Nothobranchius furzeri: one gene and its partner. The protein of the gene in region 1 interacts with the protein of each later gene in a pairwise test. Links are inferred from orthologs where the notes say so. Each region holds a gene or a part of one and is shown in the gene's direction. Other genes may lie near its edges. The genes, in order: mcm3ap and mcm3.

Region 1 (9,836 bases):
GCTAAAATCAACAATGAGAACATGACGAAGTGCCTGCAGAGTCTCAAAGAAATGTACCATGACCTGGCAGCTGAGCAGATCTTCTGCCCCCAAGAGGCCGAGTTCCGCCAGTACAGCGTTCTGCTGAGGCTCAACGATGGAGACGTCCTCAGGTAGCTTCTCATGGCAGAGTTACCACAAGGTTCAGTTTGGTGTGCCACCCCAAACATTTGTTTGACCCCATCCGGCCACCCCATCAAAGTTTTCTGGAGGCGCCCCTGTCTGAAAGTGGAGAATTATTCATCAAGATTACAAGAAAATCTTTCTGCTTGGAAGGAAAACATCAAGAAATGAATCCTGATTTTAGTTGACAGCGTTTATTACGGACTGTGTCTGTGATTAAAACCCTTCATCTCTGCAGAGAGGTGCAGCAGTTCCGAGGGGAGGTGCGAAACTCACCGGAGGTGACGTTTGCAGTTCAAGCGTTCGCTGCCGTCAACAGCAACAACTTTGTTCGCTTCTTCAAGCTGGTGAAGAGAGCTTCTTATCTCTCCAGCTGCCTCCTGCACAGATACTTCAGCCAGGTGAGAAAGCTTCAGCTCTTTTCTTTCTGGTGTCTGAATGTTGTTGGTGTTAAACGCTCCATCTTGTGTGTGTGTGTGTGTGTGTGTGTGTGTGTGTGTGTGTGTGTGTGTGTGTGTGTGTGTGTGTGTGTGTGTGTGTGTGTGTAGGTCAGAGCGAAGGCACTGAAGGCCCTGAACATGGCTCACACTGTGGGTCCTCGATCTACCGCATTCCCGATAGAGGATGTTGTCCGGATGTTGATGTTCCGAGATGCAACTGAAGGGACCGACTTCGTGCAGCAGTACGGGCTCGTGGTCAACGACGGGTAAAGCTCGTTGCTGCTGAACTAAATGCCATAAAGATTTCTCCACCGTTTTGACACATTGACCCATAAAATACATGTTTGGATTTAAAAAAGGCAAAATAACATAGTTTAAACTGTGCAGGATGGTGGAACTGAGCCGGATAGCTTTTCAGGAGCCAGAACTGCCCCGGTCTCAGAAGATGTCAGAGGTCATTCTCTCTAAGAAGACGGTATTAACTGGACAGGTGGTGAATGGAGGCCCCCTCCCCAACCCCCCGCAGCACACCCCCATCTGTAGCTTTGACTCTCAGAATAAATACAGTGGAGATGGGAAGCTGACTGAGTCCACATCCAGCTACATTAAAGGTGTGATGGTTTACCAGATTTCTGCTTCTTGTGTCGGTAAAGCCGTTAACCAAACCCGTTTTTGTTTCAGGCAGCAGCGCGGACGCTCCAGCCCTACCAGCTGTTGATCTGTCCACTCAGCTTGGTCCAGATGTTTCTGCAGTGTTTGAGCCGCTTCCCGCTGTTCCAGATGAACCAAGACAACCGTATCACCCTGAGGCCTCGCAGTTCCAGCATGAGCCTGTCGAACCTCCATCGCCCCCACCCAAACCTCCTCAGCCGCTGTACAGCGACGAGGTGGGAGGCATCGCCAAGCTGCTTTCTGCTCTGAACTTGTTTGTTTGCATTCTGCTCACGTTTCTGTCCTCTTCAGGACATGGTGGCAGCGATGGACTCTGTTCTAGACGAAGTGGTTGAAGCAGAGGTGAAAGCTGTAGCTGATGCTGGAGCAAGCTACGTCACAGAGGCTCTCTCGTAAGCTCACATCCGCTCGCGCTGCATTGGAGGCCATGAAGACATCTTGGATGATTTTACCTTCTGCTTCTGCAGGGAGAGCAGCGTGCAGGTGGAGGCTCTGGTGAGGGAGGTGCTGGGACAGATGTTGCAGGACATATCGTCCAACGAGATCAAAATGGAACAAGAGCGTGTCGTTGAGGAGAAACGCAGACTTGAAGTGGCAAGGTTGGTGTAGAAAACGCCTTTTCTGACGAGCTTAAGATGAAACCAACTTCTGCAGGATCAATAAACGCTGTTGTGTTTATTCTTCTGTAGGAGGAGGCAGGAGCACGAGGCATTTCTGGCTCAGTTCAGCTGTTGGCTCTGCACACAGATCATCCATGAAGTGCTGGATGAGACCATACAGCAGTCCGCAGCGTCTCAGATCCAGTAAAAGCTTTGCTTGATGCTCTTCTTTACTTAATCACACTTTCCTTAGTTTTGGGATATTTCCGTGACTTTTGTGGGTTTCTCTTTAACAGAAGGATTTTAAATATTTATGCCTGAACCAGAACGCTGATCTGAACTTTTTATTATCAGGGAGGCGGTGAACGAGGAAGCGGAACGTTTGGCTCAGTGCTCTGAGCAGGTCTGCTGCAGTCTAATGGAGGAGACGTTGGCTACAGCCATTTCTCTGCTGGCTGAAGACTTCCTCGAAGCTGAGCTGGAACGTATCCACAAATACATCAAAAGGTTAAAATCTGCAGAACGAACCCCTGGACAGCTATATTTGACCTAGACGTGGTAAGCTGAGTGGTCTGGCTTTGCACCAGGTGGCGTGATGTGGTTACCGTTCGCCGCCAGCTGAAGAGACAGATGAGAGAGTTCCCTGCAGCTCCTTGCTGCGTTGATCCCCGTTTTAAACTGAAGGCCCTGGTTCCCAGCGCTCCTGCTCAGCCCTCCATACAGGATCTGGCTCAAGGTCTGGTCCGACTGGGAAACGCTGGCGTGTTGGCAGTGTCCAGCACCAGGTACGTTCGCCTCTTATTTCTTTCTAGTTTACGGATCTTGACAAGCCGTGAAACATTTTCTACCTTTTTCAGGTTGTTGAGGATGAGAGAAGGAGCAATGCATCAGATGAGAGTCCACTCCTTCTATCAGCAGCTGCTGGAGTAAGTCCTGAGTCCACTGGGTTAGAGGCTTTGCCAGGAAACCGCAGTTTGACGAGTCTGTGATGATTTCCTCAGAGAGGCAGTGTGGGAACCACTTGATCTGCCAGCACTTGTGACAGAAAATATCCCAAACCCACCTGATCGCATCTTCTGGAAAGCTCTGGTCCTCCTGCCTAGCGATGATGAAAGTGTAGCCAGCCTGGCCGACAGGTGAGAAGACACCAGATGTTTTACTGCATGGGTCCAACCTCACGTTTCCTCCGACATGTCGGGCTGGTGTTGGCTGTGTTCTTCCAGGGTTCTATCAGACTGGATGGAGGTGAAACTCGGAGGAGATGGAGGCTTGGAGGAGCCGCGGGACGGCACCATGAGGACACTTTGTGTCTCCAACACACTGCAGGAGAATGGACAGAGAACTCATAAAGTCCACATCACATTGAAGGTAGGATTCGCCGTCGGGGCCTGAGTGTGAGTTTGTCCGGAGGCTCTGTGCTGCTGATGCAGGCTGGAGGTAAAACGTGTTCAATTTCAGGCCTGGGAGCTTTGTTGTTTCAGTCCAACATGCATCTTTATCGTGTTACTTTTTGTTTCTGTGAATTATTTAAAGAAATGTGTTTACTTGTTGTTTAAAGTTGTTCTTTGGGTGTGTGTGAAGCTGCACCTCCTGAGCAGGTTCATGTTACGTCTTTCAGGCGTGTCGAGGTCCGCTGTCCGAACCCGGCTTGTCCAGATTGGAGGAGTTCCCTGAGCTTCAGGGCACAAAAGCCATCATCATGCTGCTTCCCGCTCAGCCGGTAGTGGAAGTGGGTCAGGAGGACCGGGATGTTCCTCTGCTGTCTGCTTTGCTTCAGCTTAAACAGCTGCAGCAAGCCAGCAGCTGGTTCTGTCCTCTGCCTCTGGTGCTTCTGGTACCGGGCTGCCAAGATGCCAGTGTAGCTCCCGACCTGGAGGAAGGTACTGAACTACTGCTGGAAAACAATTTTAACTTGTAATGGTGGATATTTCTGTGCTGTGAATCAGCACGAATCTGTTTTCCTTTGGTGTGAACGGTTCCTCTGATCTCTTAGCCTTGAAGCTACGCACGCTGGTTAAAGAGGAGCTAATATCGGAGTACATGCTGTTCTTCATACCAGAGACAACAAATGATCTGCAGGGATCCAAACAGGTACCGATAAAACCCGGCACCAGCCTTGAACACATGTTGGCAGCTGTAATGGTTTTATTCTTTTGATTCTTTGTTGTGTTTAGAGAAACGAGTTTAGTCCGTTTTCTAACTTTGAAACGGTTCTGGATGAAGGTTGTGGAAGCAGAAGACCAAATAAAAGTTCTCAAAAAATTGAATCATGGGATTAACTTGTCTTTTCCGTGTTTATGTACTTTCAGCTGTTCTCTCTGACCTTTGACCTTTTGTCCTCCCCGTCTCCAGCTAACCCAGGCTGTACGCTGGTTGCTGCCTCGTGCTCCACCACACTTCCCGCTCCGTTGTCAAACCCTGGCGCAGCTGATCGAGGCCAGTTTGAGTCGTGAGTTCTGTCCCAGAGTTTACGCCAACCGTCAGAACCGAGCCGCTGCACAGCTTCTGCTCCAGGAGCCGGCGCCCGTCATCCAGCTGTACAACGCCGTCCTGGATCACGTCGCTAATACCGTGGCCTCCCAGGATCTCTGCAGACTGTCATGGCCTCCCGCTGAGTTCAGTCTGCCTGAAACCAGGGAGTTTGTGCCTCACCTGGGCTGGAATTCTGTTCAACACCTGGCCTGGCTGCGTGAAGCCATCCTCAGCTTGCAGTTACCTGAGTGGGAGGAGCTTCCAGCAACAGGTTAGTGCCTCAGATAGAGCTTGGATTAAAGAGGAGAGAAAGATATTTATTTGTGACCCACTCTTTCAATCCAGACATGTGGTCGGATCTGTGCTCCTCCATCTTTTGTTACGCCTCTAAAATCACCACGTCCCGTCGTAGTCAGCCTGTCCTCGTGTCACACCTGATGAACCTGTTTGAACGAGTCAGAGTAAAGGCTCAGCGAGCCCAAGCCTCCAAAACCAAGGGAAGGTGTGGAAATGCCGACTACGATGCTTTCAGCCAGGTTCCATGGGATGATGTGGTGTTGGTCTTTGTAGACCATAAACTGAAGGACTGGCTGCTGCCAGGACCACCGGTCTGTGAAGGTCAGCTTCATTCATTCATGTTCTGCTTCTTACTGGCTTCACACTCAAAACACCTCAACTTTGCTTTTTGTCCCTCTTCAAGATGCTGTGACAGATGATGGAGAGATCCTGGTTTACTTTCCTGAAGGTTCACTAGAAGGTTTCCAACCACCTGAGGGGTGGACACGGGCCGTTGAGCAAACACACATGGAGGAGAAGCAGAGGCAGAGGCATGGGTACGATTACTGATCCTGGAGAGTTTTGAAAAGTCAAAATCAGAACTTTGTTTTACTGCAAGGAACCTGAAATAATTCCCATCTCAGCCCGTTGATAGCTTCCTGAACAGCCTGTCTTCAGGACTGATGAGCTAACGGCTAGTCAGAGCGAGGTGTAAAAGTTCCTAAAATAATGTAACATAAACTTCTGTGAAACTTAGGAAACTGGAGCAGTTTTAAGACGGCAGCAACTCACTGGTTCTTCACCCAGACGAGCTGTTAGCTAGTCGGTCCTGAAGGGCATAGACTTTATTTCTGTGAACAGAGGCTGTTCGGGAAGCGAGATAAGAATGAACTTTTACACAGAAATGCTCTTCAGCATGGTCAAGATGTTCTTTCAACATGAATATTGTTAGTTTTTAGAACCTCCATCACTATCAGTGTTCGACAGCGAGGAGGAGATTAGAGACGATGACGTCTGAATTATTTCCACTGCTCTCTTGGACACGTTTGTTTTTGACAAGTTAAAGTGGGAGATAAGTGCCAATCTCCGGAGAGTTAAATGTTAGTGGTCATCTTCACTGTCGTAGCTCCACACAGTGTTAAAATATGAAACCAAGAAGCAAACTGAAGGTTTGTCAGGTTTCTGGGTGTTGGTGGGAGGACGGTGGAAAATAAAAGGAAAGAAAAACACTAAATCTGTTGTTTGTCTAATTCTATAAGATTCCTTCCAGTAAACGATTGTTTATGAATTAATTTAGACATGTTGCTCAGTATGAGTGTGTTGGTGTCATCTTGATCTCTGCCTGCCTCTTTCAGGGATGCTGAAGCTGCCCATGCTCCGCCGGCTGGTCCGACTCTCAGACAGAGGTTGTTCCACAGTTTGGTGGAGCCTGCGGAGTCATCCCCCACTCCTCTGGACATCACACACACCCCCACAACAGAAGAGCAGCTGGCTCACAAAGTCCTTCAGAACATGGAGCGTGAACGGGCCGAGAGCAGGAGGTACCGCTGCAGCTCTGCTGCTGGACTTCTGATTCACAGACACAACAGAAGAAGTTTATGAACTTGTTTATCCTTCTGGGTGTTTACCAGCTTGTTTCTTTTTCTCATTTTATACATTTAATACCAAGAAGAACATTGAAGGCAAATGATTTCTTTTACATAAATAAAACTATTTCCAATTTAAATCTTGGCACAAGAATAGGCAGAGCCCAGCAGGGGCAGGAATGAATCTGAGGTGATGAAAAGCCACCTCCTTGGTAAGAACGTGGTGCTCTATAAATAAAATATTCACCTTAAAACATCTGTGGGCCAATTTGGCCCCTAGAAGGAACCCTTTTATGATAAATGTATTCCTATAGCATCTTCTAGAGCCCTACAACCGCCAAAGCTGCTACAACACAACAGCCAATCACACCGTGAGCGATTAAAGGAGTCCGGTTCAGATCCAGATGACCCTGCAGGTGTTTGGTCAGCTCACCGCAGTTATCAACACGGATGTTGGGAATGTTGCTCTGGTGTCTTTGGCTTTGTTTCAGCGCCATTTTTAGAACCGTAAAGAACCAAATTAAAACTGGACCCCTAAATTTCTGATGTGTAAAAATTTTTAATCATTTACAGGAAATATTTTAGCTCCAACTTCTCATGTCTTCAGAAAGATGTCTACATGTTTTCAGTATTTGTCTCCTCACAATCAGCGGGTCAGATACACTAAACTTCCTCTCTGCAGGAGCATGGAGAAGCTGCAGCAGTGGGTGACTGGCGAGCCGTTGGATCATCTGTCCACGCCGCTTTTCATTCCGTCCTCCATCCTGCTGTCCACACCGGCAACCATAAGGTGTACGCCCACAGGCAAGACTGGACCGGCTGCTCTCACTCAGGTATCCCAACACTGCCTGGACAGGGTTAATTATTAAGTAATCAGAATAGATCAGGCGTAGAATAAATTCGAGGTGGGTAATACTTTGTTCCTGTAAAACCTTGATGATGTAGGCAACGTCACACTGAATCACAACAATCAGTCCAGTTGTCTTACAGAGCAAAATGTACACAGTGAAAAGTTTTTAGCTAATAGCTCTTAGGATGATCCGGGTTCTGGTACGAGAAATGGACTGAAAGTTGGTTTTGTGCCAGTCAGACCAAATGAAAAGATCACAAGAGCGAAGCTGGCTGGATCAGAAGTTACATGGGCAACACTTCTTTTATTTTTGTCCCCAGAGGTCAGAGCGTAATGAGCATTTGGATGGAGCAACTTGGTCCGGGACTCGTCCCGTGTCTCTGACATGGAGACTGAAGGATCTGGAGAGACAGATGTCCTCGAGTCAAGAGGAAGAGCTGGCCTGCAGAAGGAAGCTGAGAGGTCTTCTGAGCATCGTGCATGACTGATGGGACTCCTGTGGTTTTTATTCAGCCCTGCAGTCCCACACATATTCTAAACAACAACGAAACTTCTCTGCCTTTAAAGAAGGACTTTCTCATCAGACTGTGTGTGTGGATGTTAAATGTTTGTACCAATATGAGAAAGTTCTGGTTTTACAGGAAAATTTTGTCTTTTCATTTAAAACTTTTTGTCTCGAGTTTTAAAGATGCTGAATTAAAAATAAAACTCTAGTTTGTTTTTTATTAAATCCCAGTTAACACATTTTTTAAAGAACTTTTCTAAAGGAGCGCTTCCTGAACTCCCAACACGTCGGACATGTTCAGAAGAATAGAACCGGAGATAAAACAAGTTCTGGTTCGTAGCAAGAGTTTAGAAAGAAGTTAGCGAGATCCAGCATTTATTTTGGTAACCAACTTCCGCTTATTGGCAAGCGAATCTGCCTATTAGCTAAATGTTTAAGTACCAGCTAAATATTTATTTTCCACAATGTTATTTAGCTCCACACTATATTTTATATTTTTGGGTCAGACTTAAATATTTATTTCTCAAATACTGATTTTGCAAACTAAATGTTTAGCTCCAAAATAAATATTTAGCTGGGATCTAAATATTTATTTCGGAAAATAAATATTTAATTTACAAATTAAATATTTAGTTCCAAAATAAATATTTAATTAGTAAATTAAATATTTAGTTAGTGAATTAAATATTTATTTTACAAACTAAATATTTGGAGCAGACCTAAATATTTAGTTTGCAAAATAAATATTTAACTACAAATTAAATATTTAGCTTGCTAACTAAATATGTATTTGGAAACTTTAACATTTATAAATGTATGAATAACATGGTGAAAATATGACTTCAAAAACGTGAACTCACAATTTTTTCTCTTGTGATATGCTAAATAACCAAAAATATTGCTGTTAGATTATGACTGTTTGACTTTACAAATGGCACCCCATAGGTTCCCTTCACTAGCTTCCCCTACGTTACAACAACCAGTTTAAAGTACTGCTGTTTGTCTCTCCAAGGCCTAGCCCCACCCTACATAGACGATCGACTGACCATGTACACTCCTGTCAGAAATTTGAGATCTAGCTCCTAGTCCCTGTTCTGATCCCAAGGTCTTGTCTAAAGACCCTACCATATCATACCAACTTTATTTATAAAGCACTTTTAAAAACGGCATGGCAGCAAACTAAAGTGCTGTACAGATGAAAAGTAAAACACAACATAAAACCAAAAACACAATAATAAAAGTACACATCAAATCAGTTAAATCACAGTCAATAAAAGAATACATAATAAAAATAATTAATAAAAGTCAAGGGTTTAAAAATGCCTGGTTGTATAAGTGGGCCTTAAGCAGTGACTTGTAACGGGGAAGGGGTGGTGCCAGCCCAGAGGGACGGAGCAGCGTAGACAAAAGCACGCTGCCCCTGCGTTTTGTATTTCATGGTGGGAATGTGAAGCAGCAAGCAATCGGCAGATCTCAATGCCCGGTTTGGCACATAACGAGCCACAAGGTCGGACAGGTAATCCGGTGCCAGACCATTCAGAACCTTAAAAACAAAGATCAGAATTTTAAACTTCACTCTGAAGTTTACGTGTAGCCAATGGAGCTGCGCCAGTACAGGTGTATCACGCCAGTACAGGTGTGATACCCAAAGAGATGGAGCTTTTTCAGTAGCTGCCCCTAGGCTTTGTTGTTTAACACATTTCTTTGACCTTCTTTTTAATATTGGTTGATCTGTGCAGTTATTCTTTTACTTTTTATCTAGTTTTATGATGGTTTTATTCTTTGATCTTTTAGTTATTGTTTTACTCTAAACTAGTCATTTTATTCATGGTTTAATTATTTTTGTTGTCTACTTCTTATCTTTTTAATGTGTTTCATTTTTGGGTGAGTTTTATGTGGCATTTTGGGCACTGCACAGCACTTTGGGTTGCTTGAGCAACAGTAAATGTGCTACATAAATAAAACTGACCTTGACCAAAATGTAAACCTTTTGTTTAAAAAAAAATCTAAATCTTTATTTTTGAAAAGTTTAAAAACTGGTTTTTAAACTATACTTAAACATACCGTAAATCCTCTAATACAGGCCCAGGCCTGTATTTGACTCAAGCTCATCAAGCTCCAGGCTTTTATTGGAAGGAGGACCAGAATTAGAGGCAAGGCTCTATTTCTATTTGAGCAAAATGAACTAATGGTTCGCTGGAGTTTTTGACAATTAAAATTGCGCCCACATTTTCAAAGTTAAACACATTTCTTTTAACAACGGTAGTTTCTGCT
Region 2 (10,561 bases), on another chromosome or scaffold:
AATTGTTCAGCTCAATAGGCTCAGTTAGATTCTATTACTCTACACTATTCAACAAGAAATACATTCATGACAACAAGGATACATTTAGTTGTGTTTCTATACAGCATTGTGACACCTTGTATATCTGTAACACAATAAATAAATAAATAAATAAATAAATAAATAAATAAATAAATAAAATGTTCTATAACAAAATTCAACAAAATATAAATTCTGGTCCTTTGGTCCACCTTTGTAAAATAATTCCTCCCTAATCAGTTAGCTTTTATTTATTTTTATTTATCTATTTTTTTTATTATTATTAAATGTTTGGTTAAGGGACGCATTGCTAATTCTATGGCGTTAGCTATAACGCCCCTGAGGACCTTGTACATCTAGGCCGTACCACCATTAACTGGCGGTTTGAGCCGTTAACTCCTGGGAATCCCATATGCCCTACCGCCGTTAACTGGCGGTTTGAGCCGTTAACTCCTATATGCCCTACCACCGTTAACTGGTAGTTTGAGATGTTAACTCCTGGGATCTAACGTCTAGCAGCCCACTGCTGTCACCTTGGTTGCTGTAATTAGCTTTTTGAATTTAATAATTTACTGAATTTAATCTCATTCACTCACCAACGCGCTCCAACGGTTCCCTCCTACAGAGGATTGGTTCACTCTGTCGTCTCCACACAAATCTATAAGAATGGAATTAATTTGATAAGCTATTTAAGTTTCCTTTTTTTTTTTAAGTTGCATCGTTAGCTTTTTCTCTTCTTTTTTCTTTACTCACCGCGTTGGTTCCAAGTTCCCAGCTCTTATTAGAAGGAGTCAAGTCCGCCTCTCCCTCTATCTATGCGGCACCCAAATCAGGGTTCTTCACGGCCTCGACCGTTGTTTTTTTTTCTCTCTCTCTCTCTCTCTAACCGCTCAGTCTTTGCTTTCTGTATCTGCGTGCTGCACAGCCGTTTGTCTCTCCTCTCGCTCAGCTGCGTCGCACGGTTTTATTTCGCGGAGGCGGGACTTATTTCTCTCAGCCAATGAAATTTCAGATTCCCACCTGGACCAATAGTATACAGCTTTCCTCTTCTGTTTCTGTTAGTGATGTTCAAGATTCTTGTTTTAACCAATGTTTAATATTAAACTCGTTATTTTAGTTATTCACCCTTCCAATAATTCATTATGAAATTATCTATTAGTTAATTAGATATCTATTAATTAGTATTGTTAATTTCCTTAATTTATATTTTATATTTTATCTAAATTGAGGATGGATCATATTAGTAAGCCAATTAGTTAATACCTCATTAAGGTTCTAGCTTCTGGGTTACACAGGTTTCAGGCAAACTTATGGTTTTCATTGCTTTCAATCTTTTTGTAATCTTGTATATTTTATTGTTGCTTTTAGTATTTGTAGCTTGTTTTAGTGTATTTTTACTCTGTGGTCAGCACTTTGGGGCAACCGCTGTTGCCATTTAAAGGTGCTACAGAAAAAAAATTTGACATGACCTAAACTGTTGTTATAACAGAAATCGCAGCATTTGTTATTCAAAAATATAACCTTTATCGGAACATCAGGATTTATTTAGTGTTTGTTTTGTTGCTGGTACCAGAATTAGCACAAGAGAGCTCCATGATAATGATTCTTTGGAAAAACTGAAGTTTCCAAGTTTATGCACGTTTCCATCTTCTGGTCACTAAATATACTGCAGCCTAAAACGGCTGGTTGTATTCCTGCTCACACAACAATGCTGGTTGAAAGTGAACGTTGTTCTAAATACCAAAGTAGTTAATGTCCAGCTTCATGTATTTGATGTTAGCTTGTGTCAAACAGAAGGTCTTGCATAGACAGTATGTTTCCCAGCTTTTGGTAACTGTGGCTAAACTCCACATTCACAAATGGATCATGATTTTGTGCTCTTTTTGTGGACCTGAAATGTTCCTACTCCTCCATGAGCAATGTAGAGAACCAAAAAGCAACAAGAACCATAAACAGGACCACATGGAAGAAGGAAGAACTATCATGACCCGACTGAAATCCAGACTCGTCAGACCGGGAACAGTTTTTCCCTTCTGGTCCATTTCTGGTGGTCCTGAGCCAGATCAAGACTCTTGGCACTCTGATCTTCAGCAAGTGCTCTCCTTGCATGGAGATCCCACCATGTAATTATCCATTAAAGGCTAAAGCATCCTAGTCCTACTGTAACTGCAGTCAGCACCCTGTCAACACAATGTTTATACAATCACTGCAGGGACAATAATGATTCCATTTTTATGTAAACTACTTCTAACAAACGTTTTTATGAATGTAAATGGTAAATGGCCTGTATTTGATATAACTCCTTCTAGAGTTCTTGAAACCCCCCAAGGCGCTTTACAACACAATCAGTCATTCACCCATTCACACACACTGGTGGGGATGAGCTACAATGTAGCCACAGCTGCCCTGGGGCGCACTGACAGAGACGAGGCTGCCGAGCACTGGCGCCACCGGTCCCTCCGACCACCACCAGCAGGCAATGTGGGTTAAGTGTCTTGCCCAAGGACACAACAACAGCGACAGACTGAGCGGGACTCGAACCTGCAACCTTCTGATTACGGGGCGAGCGCTTAACTCCTGTGCCACCGTCGCCCCTAATGTAGGTTGTGTGGTGTTGTAAGGCCATTTGTAATTTACAAGAGGAAATATATGGAGTAACGGGTTGTATGGGTTTTTGAACATGGGATCTTAGGAAAATAAATGTGGATAATTTAAAACATCTAGAGATAACCAGGTTAATGTGAAATTAGTCTTTAAACAAAGAGGTTAGGTTTGGAATTAACTAAATTGGACAGACAGAAACACGAGCTGTTTTTGGCCCCATCTTGTATACAAAGGGTGAAATTGTGTTTTGTTTCCGTTTCCGGCTTGTTTTTGCGCCAGTTTTATGAAGGGTGGGTCGAATCCACGGGTAGGATGCTTACGAGTACGGGTCCTCGCCGGTCTAGGGTCCTTGCTAGACCGCTAAGACCGAAATCCAGCGGCTCTGAATTCAGACCAAGCCCCCACAATGCGGGTCAAAAATCTAAGCAAATGTGGAAATGAAAGAAATTGCAGTTCCACCCTCATCCACTAGGGGCTGGTGTCAGAAGTGAGCAAATCCTCATTGACTCCCATGTTAAAAATACCAATTTGACAGCATAAATAAACATGTTTACAGCCTGGTACCAAAACATGTTTTTGGTTTAAATGATCTAGTTTACACTCATGACAACTCTGAGTGGGGTGAATGTTTTTCTCACTCTTCTGTTTAAGTGTATTAAAAGCCTAAAATTCTGTATAATTAATGAGCATCAGACCCACGTGACCACAGAGCTAGCTCCGTGGAAAGGCCTCGGTAGAGCCTCGGTCTGGCCTGGAAACTGTTCCAGGATTTTGAGTCTCTGTGTGTGTGTGTATTCTTGTTTGGATATTATTTGTGCAATTGTTGGACAAAATGACTTGCTGTGGCATTAATTGCACTAATAGAGCGTCCAAGGAGTCTCCACTTCATTTTTTTCAGTAAGTAAAATTATATTTATATATTTTAGGTCACTGCCGAGCTGAGCTTAGATTTTAACATGTACTGTTTAACCATGAAATTTAAATGTAATAGGGTAAAACCCAGTGCATTTAACATAATGCTGCACTTTAGAAAATGGGTTGAAATCATCGGCATAAATATACTGGACATCTCCTTTCCATAGGCTCCAATATCACGTTTTTGTACTAAAATGGGAGGTGGCCACCACCACCATTTTGACCGTGTCACAGGTTCCGTCAAGCCCAGACAATTCCATAAAAGGGAAGAGAGGTGGAGCTGAGGGTGGGGCTGTAAGGCTGGGATCAACTGACGACACCCGGTCGTCCATACTGGTTTTGATCTGTAAATAAGTTAAACCTATTATAAATAATCTTGTCTCCTTACCATCTTTTCATTTTCTGTTCATGTAACATGTTCAAAAACATCTGTATTAATAAAACTGGTGATAAAACCAATGACCAGAAAGTTATCAGTATTTGAACACATTTACTAAAACAAATACAAACAGCTAAATAACATTAACATGATGACAGTAGAAGGCCTGTCTCCCAGGAGGACCAACAGGTAAGTGTTGCGTCCACGACATGAGATGGTAAAATGTGAAGAATGGGGATCACATAAGAACTGGACAGTGGATATTAAAAGGGTTTTAATGGTATACAAAGGTTCTAAAACACAAGCAAACATACGACGGGCATTATAAAAATAATGCAACACACTCAAACTTTCAAAAAGGTTAATATTAAACGACAAATTATCAACTATAAAAAACACCTGGTTAAAAATTTGTTAAAAGCTTCACCGCAAGAAGGTGTTCTAAAAGCACCGCGAAGTTGATATAAAACAATTTACTGACTTAAACACCTGGTTAAAACTTAAGTTTTACCAAACAAAGGTATTTAAAAACCATGTCAATAAAATTGCAACAAACAAAGTTAACCTTAAAAACCAACGAACACAAGATCCCACAGGATCACTCAAGAGTTTCAACTATAAAAGTTAAACTCATACAGAACGAATGGAGAACAGCAGAGCTCCTGCACTGCTGCCTCCCAGACTCTGAAGGCACAGCTCTTTTATCCAGGTGTGGCTCATCAGGAGGACTCAGCTCAGCTGTGCTCCTCAGCAGCCTGGAAGGGAGGAGGAGGGGGGGGCGGTGTCCGGCCATCACCAGAGCTGGGTGATCCTGGCTGCTTTCTCCCTCTGGCCAGGCTGGCAGCTGCACCAGGTAAAGCCTCTCCTGACCCTGGACACCTGCAGTCCTACAGAGAAAATCAGACCACAGGTGACAAAAAGGCAATAAACACACTTTTACATTTATCCACATGAGAAGATAAAACTTTTATTCTGCACACAAACTTTTTACTTCATTAAAACGTGTCAGCTGTGTAAATCCCTGAATGTAAAACTACTTTTCACAGAAGAACGTGTGTGTGTGTGTGTGTGTGTGTGTGTGTGTGTGTGTGTGTGTGTGTGTGTGTGTGTGTGTGTGTGTGTGTGTGTGTGTGTGTGTGTGAACAGCTTCCTATTCACCTCTGAGCTTCATAAAAACGCTTCTTTGCGCCGTTGTCCTTAAAACAAATGACAATTCAACACACACACACACACACACACACACACACACACACACACACACACACACACACACACACACACACACACACACACACACACACACACACACAGGAATAACTGGGACCTGCGAAACAAAGTCGTTCTGGCTGATTTCTGCCTAAAATGTAATTTAAAGAACAAACATACAAACGACAAATGTCTATAAACAGAACCGCTTTAAGTTTTTTAGGTTTCTACGGCTGGTTTTTAACAAACTCACGTTTAAAACTTCGTAGCTCTCCCCACTTCCGCTTCCTGTTGAAAATCCACGGCCGGCGCGCAAAGCATGCTGGGGGAGGGGGTTAAGTGTCACGTGATTATTGCGTGAGTTTACCCGCCGAGTATGCAAAAGACCACGTGACGGGTTGACCAATCGTAGGGCACGCTGTACTGTGACGCAGACCGCAGTGGCGCGAAAAGTCTTCAGTCGTGAGGTGTGACGGTGGCGGCAGCGTTTTGTTTCCCGTTTTCAGTTTCATCACCGAGAAAAGTTGATCAGAAATAATGGCGACCGACATGGTGGACGACCGGGAGATGAGGGAGGCGCAGAGGGACTATGTGGACTTCCTGGACGACGACGTAAGTCACCTTTTGTCCTTTGATGTGTTCCTGTAAGGAGAGAACAACAAAGGCCGCCGTCGTGGTCAGACTTGTGTCAGGAATGCGTTTTTAACAGCCTCCGTGTTGTTGTCCGACCTGCAGCAGGACCAGGGCATCTACCAGAGCAAAGTCCGCGACATGATCGGAGACAACAAAGCCCGGCTCATCGTCAACATCAACGACCTGAGGAGGCGCAACGAGACCCGGGCCGCAAAGTTAGTCACACTCGCTGTCCCCTTTGGGTCTGGAGCTCCTGAGGTTCCCCTCCATCATCCATGAGTGTAAAGATGTCTCCAGCAGACACAGCTAACTGCTCCTTCTGTTTAGCGAGATCTAACTTTTAGAGGATAAATGCTCCAAAAAGGCAGTACTGAACAGAAATGGTGGATAAGAGGCGGTTCCTCAGATCACGTGTCCCGCCATCACAGCTGGTTTTTGCCTCCCAGGTTGCTGAACAGTGCGTTTGAGGAGCTGCTGGCCTTCCAGCGGGCTCTGAAGGACGTGGTGGCCACGGTGGACGCCACCTACGCCAAGCAGCACGAGGAGTTCTTTATCGGGCTGGAGGGCAGCTTCGGCACCAAGCACGTGTCCCCCCGGACGCTGACCTCGCGACTGCTGGGCAGCGTGGTGTGTGTGGAGGGCATCGTCACCAAGTGTGAGTTTAGGATTTGTAGCTGCCTGCTGGCTCTGGGTTTCATCTAACCTTCCGGTCTTTTCCTGTAGGTTCTCTTGTGCGTCCCAAAGTGGTGCGCAGTGTCCACTACTGTCCAGCCACCAAGAAAACCATGGAGAGGGTGTACAGCGACCTGACCTCTCTGGATGCCTTCCCTTCCAGTGCCATTTACCCAACCAAGGTGGGTGTTTGCTAGCTCAGATGGTAAAGGTTGTGTGTGACTGAAGATGGCTAACCGTCATCGGTTCCGCTGCTTTAGGATGAGGAGAACAACCCCCTGGAGACGGAGTTTGGTCTGTCCATCTACAAGGACCACCAGACCATCACGGTGCAGGAGATGCCGGAGAAGGCTCCAGCCGGTCAGCTGCCCCGCTCTGTGGACATCGTTCTGGACAACGACTTGGTGGATTCCGTCAAACCAGGAGACCGAGTCCAGGTCGTGGGGACATACCGTTGCCTGCCTGGGAAGAAGGGAGGGTTCACCTCCGGCACGTTCAGGTTTGATGTGATGTCCTTCAGACATCTGTTGGTGGTTTAGATCCAGAGCTAAAGGAGAAAAGGTAAAACTCCAAACTCCCCTGTTTCTGCAGGACCATCATGATCGCCTGTCAGGTCAAACAAATGAGCAAGGAGGTCTCCCCGTCCTTCTCTGCCGACGACGTGGCCAAGATCAGGAACTTCTGCCGGACTCGCTCCATTGTGAGTGTGTGTGAGTGTGTGTGTGTGTGTGTGTGTGTGTGTGTGTGTGTGTGTGTGTGAGTGTGTGTGAGTGTGTGTGTGTGTGTGTGTGAGTGTGTGTGTGTGTTTTAATGGTGACTGTTTCTGTAGAACGTGTTTGACCGGCTGGCCCATTCGCTGGCACCCAGCATCCACGGACACGACTACATCAAGAAGGCCATCCTGTGCATGCTGCTGGGCGGGGTGGAGAAGGTTCTGGAGAATGGTACCCGCATCAGAGGAGACATCAACATCCTGCTCATCGGTAAACGGAGACCTGTAGAGCGGTTCGTGTCCACTCTGGGATTTTGTCTCACATCCGGTGTGTGTGGTTTTCCAGGTGACCCGTCGGTGGCGAAATCCCAGCTGCTGCGTTACGTTCTTCAGACCGCGCCCAGAGCCATCCCCACCACCGGGCGGGGCTCCTCCGGCGTGGGTCTCACTGCTGCAGTCACCACTGACCAGGAGACCGGTGAGCGCCGGCTGGAGGCGGGCGCCATGGTGCTGGCGGACCGCGGCGTTGTGTGCATTGACGAGTTCGATAAGATGTCCGACATGGACCGCACCGCCATCCACGAGGTGATGGAGCAGGGTCGGGTCACCATCGCCAAGGCTGGAATCCACGCCCGGCTCAACGCCCGCTGCTCCGTTCTGGCTGCTGCCAACCCGGTCTACGGCAGGGTGAGTTGGAGTGAGCGTGGCGCAGACGTTTACAAAACCCTTCAGCTGTTAGAGGTCGTCAGCTCGTGATGAGGTGGGCGCAGGAGTGAGGCATAATAATGCTTTTAACTTGGTGAAGTCGCTGCAGGCGTCCTCCAGGGACGGCTTTGATCTTGGGCGGTTCGACTGGCGTGTCGGTGGGAACGTGTGTGTTCATGAAGGTCTCTGTTCCTGCAGTATGATCAGTATAAAACCCCCATGGAGAACATCGGCCTGCAGGACTCCCTGCTGTCCCGCTTCGACCTCCTCTTCATCGTACTGGATCAGATGGACCCCGAGCAGGACCGGGAAATCTCGGACCATGTCCTGAGGATGCACCGCTACCGAGACCCCCGTGAGCAGGAGGGAGCAGGTACAGTGGCGTCCGTGTTTGATCGTGTTCTGCAGCGTGAGGAGCGTCTCACCGAGTCCGTTTATTTCCTGCAGCCATGGCTCTGGGTGGGACCGTAGATGTTCTGGCCACAGACGACCCAGATGGCCTGGGAGAAGAGCAGGAGGAGCTGCAGGTTTATGAGAAACACAACAACCTGCTGCATGGAAGCAAGAAGAAGAAGTGAGGAAGTCAGACGTGTTTTCTAAACTCTACTGGTGCTTTTGCACGACTAACAGGAGTTTGTTTCAGGGATAAGATTGTGAGTAAGGAGTTCATGAGGAAGTACATCCACATCGCCAAGGCTATAACGCCCACGCTGACGGAGGAGGCAGCCAATCACATAGCGGAGGAGTACTCCAGACTGAGGAGCCAGGAGCAGCTTGGTTCTGACGTTGCCAGGGTGAGCAGGAGAACCACAGGAACACGGAGTGGACCCACACTGCTCTGACCTTGTTCCCTCTTCGTGCAGACCTCTCCAGTGACGGCCCGTACCTTGGAGACCCTGATCCGTCTGTCCACGGCACACGCGAAGGCCCGCATGAGCAAAGCTGTGGAGCTGGTGGACACAGAGGTTGCTGTGGAGCTGGTCCAGTTTGCCTACTTTAAGAAGGTTTGTTGGTTTGTGTCCTGACCTCTGGACGTAGCTCGGACGAGCCTAAAGTCGCCGTTCCTGTTCAGGTTCTAGAGAAGGAGAAGAAGCGCTCCAGGCAGGACCGTGACTCCAGTTCAGAGGAGGAGAAGGAGGATGATGAGGTGGTCACCACACAGCAGTCACGAAGTACCAGAAAGAGGTAAACTCGCTCACGTTGCACATTTATGCTCTAAAACAGAAGCTTGGAGAGTGACTGGCATGTTTGTGTCCTGCAGGGGGCGCCGTGGCTCTAACAGCAGCGAGCCCTACAGCCCGTATGACTTCAGTGAAGAACAAACTGTTCCTGAGAGTAAGCATCAGCCTCCTCTCCTCACATCTCCACAGCGCTTCGGAACGAATAACCAGAGCCTGATTTCTGTAGAGGGTTAGGGTTCATGACCCTCACCTGCTAAAGGCTAACGTAGCTCTGAGGTGAGGCGGCTCTCATCAGCACCCATCTGTGTGTGTTGCAGTTCGGGCTGGCGCCCCGAAACCAGACCAGCAGCCGCTGGACGAGCCTATGGACGCCACATCACAGGCCGAAGCAGCGGACCTGTCTGCTGAGAGGTGAGTGGGACTTCCATCTCCACCTGCTAGGGCTGACAGCCTTAATGACCACTCTGGTCTCCTCCACCCTCCAGGCTGAAGGAGTTCAAATCGTCCCTGTTCACCGTGTTCCAGTCCAGCCACGCTCAGTCGGTGAAGATGTCCAAGCTGATGGACGACGTCAACAAGGACCGTGAGAGTCGGTTCACGAAGCCGGAGGTCCGCGCCGCCTTGGCTCGCATGCAGGATGACAACCAGGTCATGGTGGCCGATGACATGATCTTTCTGATCTGAGGGACAGGAGGATCTCGGGACTGTTTATAGCCATCGGCTGTTTCTGTCCTCTCAGAGCTCAAGTGGCGGTCATCCTGGATGACCTTTGACCTTGTATATAGTGTTTGCTGTTCTAAGTGCTGCAGTTTGTGAAATAAACATCTGAGAATACCATGAGGGCTGATGTCATCACACAGTAACAGGTTAGGCTAAATGGTAGATCTCGCCTGAAGCCAAGGGCAGGTTCTGGTCACCACCTGGCCCTGGTTCCACCCTCAGGAGCAGCAGGTGTTTGATGGTGCAGAACCCAGGAGGCCTGTCTAAGTGATGAATGTTCCCGGTTCTGAGTGTGTGCTAGTCGCCGAGTACATCTGGAGAGAAACTGCTGTGTGCATTTTCCACTCGAACATAAAAGCAACGTTGGCTCTAAAAACTAGTGATGTCGCTTATCGAGGCGTGTGTTGTTTACGTAAACGGTGACGTTCGAGGCCTCATTGGCAGTCCGTACCATGTGACCGATGAAGAAGCTGGCTTGCCGGATTCGAAGTGGGAGGGGCAGCCGAACCCCGCTGATCCCCGTCCCGTGGTGCTGTGGGAACCCTCAGTAGGGTGCCCCGAGCAGCCACGTCAGCTCTTCAGGGTTCAGCCATTTAGTCATAAATGAACAAAAACTTCCCAAAACTATCGAAAGCCCTCTTAAAGAACATTTGATGTTCTTTAGATGGAAGTTAATACAAAACCTTTCAAGAAGATGTTCTGTTTATTTTCCCAAACAAAAATGTTCATGAAACGAATAAAGCTGAAGACATTTTAAATAAAAAACAAGCTAAATGTGATAAAAAGCTTCATTCCAAATAGTTCAAACTGAAGTAA

What was found.
Region 2: the proteins of mcm3ap (region 1) and mcm3 interact in a two-hybrid assay, tested with the Homo sapiens proteins (2 studies listed by BioGRID). The link is inferred for Nothobranchius furzeri from reciprocal best matches to the Homo sapiens genes MCM3AP and MCM3.

Annotation. Positions count from the first base shown.
Region 1 is NC_091747.1:23,629,859-23,639,694, forward strand, and holds the end of mcm3ap (germinal-center associated nuclear protein), read left to right. Parts: coding exon 1-152; intron 153-400; coding exon 401-563; intron 564-710; coding exon 711-868; intron 869-989; coding exon 990-1,213; intron 1,214-1,283; coding exon 1,284-1,489; intron 1,490-1,565; coding exon 1,566-1,666; intron 1,667-1,741; coding exon 1,742-1,873; intron 1,874-1,963; coding exon 1,964-2,077; intron 2,078-2,227; coding exon 2,228-2,380; intron 2,381-2,460; coding exon 2,461-2,658; intron 2,659-2,730; coding exon 2,731-2,799; intron 2,800-2,874; coding exon 2,875-3,009; intron 3,010-3,096; coding exon 3,097-3,241; intron 3,242-3,491; coding exon 3,492-3,753; intron 3,754-3,866; coding exon 3,867-3,964; intron 3,965-4,225; coding exon 4,226-4,616; intron 4,617-4,690; coding exon 4,691-4,963; intron 4,964-5,045; coding exon 5,046-5,178; intron 5,179-5,976; coding exon 5,977-6,162; intron 6,163-6,889; coding exon 6,890-7,040; intron 7,041-7,377; and 3 more.
Region 2 is NC_091742.1:30,391,929-30,402,489, reverse strand, and holds mcm3 (DNA replication licensing factor MCM3), read left to right. Parts: upstream 1-5,553; 5' UTR 5,554-5,659; coding exon 5,660-5,734; intron 5,735-5,857; coding exon 5,858-5,970; intron 5,971-6,201; coding exon 6,202-6,410; intron 6,411-6,478; coding exon 6,479-6,609; intron 6,610-6,687; coding exon 6,688-6,926; intron 6,927-7,018; coding exon 7,019-7,127; intron 7,128-7,256; coding exon 7,257-7,410; intron 7,411-7,485; coding exon 7,486-7,826; intron 7,827-8,042; coding exon 8,043-8,217; intron 8,218-8,291; coding exon 8,292-8,418; intron 8,419-8,487; coding exon 8,488-8,638; intron 8,639-8,707; coding exon 8,708-8,848; intron 8,849-8,916; coding exon 8,917-9,029; intron 9,030-9,105; coding exon 9,106-9,179; intron 9,180-9,342; coding exon 9,343-9,436; intron 9,437-9,510; coding exon 9,511-9,709; 3' UTR 9,710-9,862; downstream 9,863-10,561. UniProt on the Homo sapiens protein: Acts as a component of the MCM2-7 complex (MCM complex) which is the replicative helicase essential for 'once per cell cycle' DNA replication initiation and elongation in eukaryotic cells.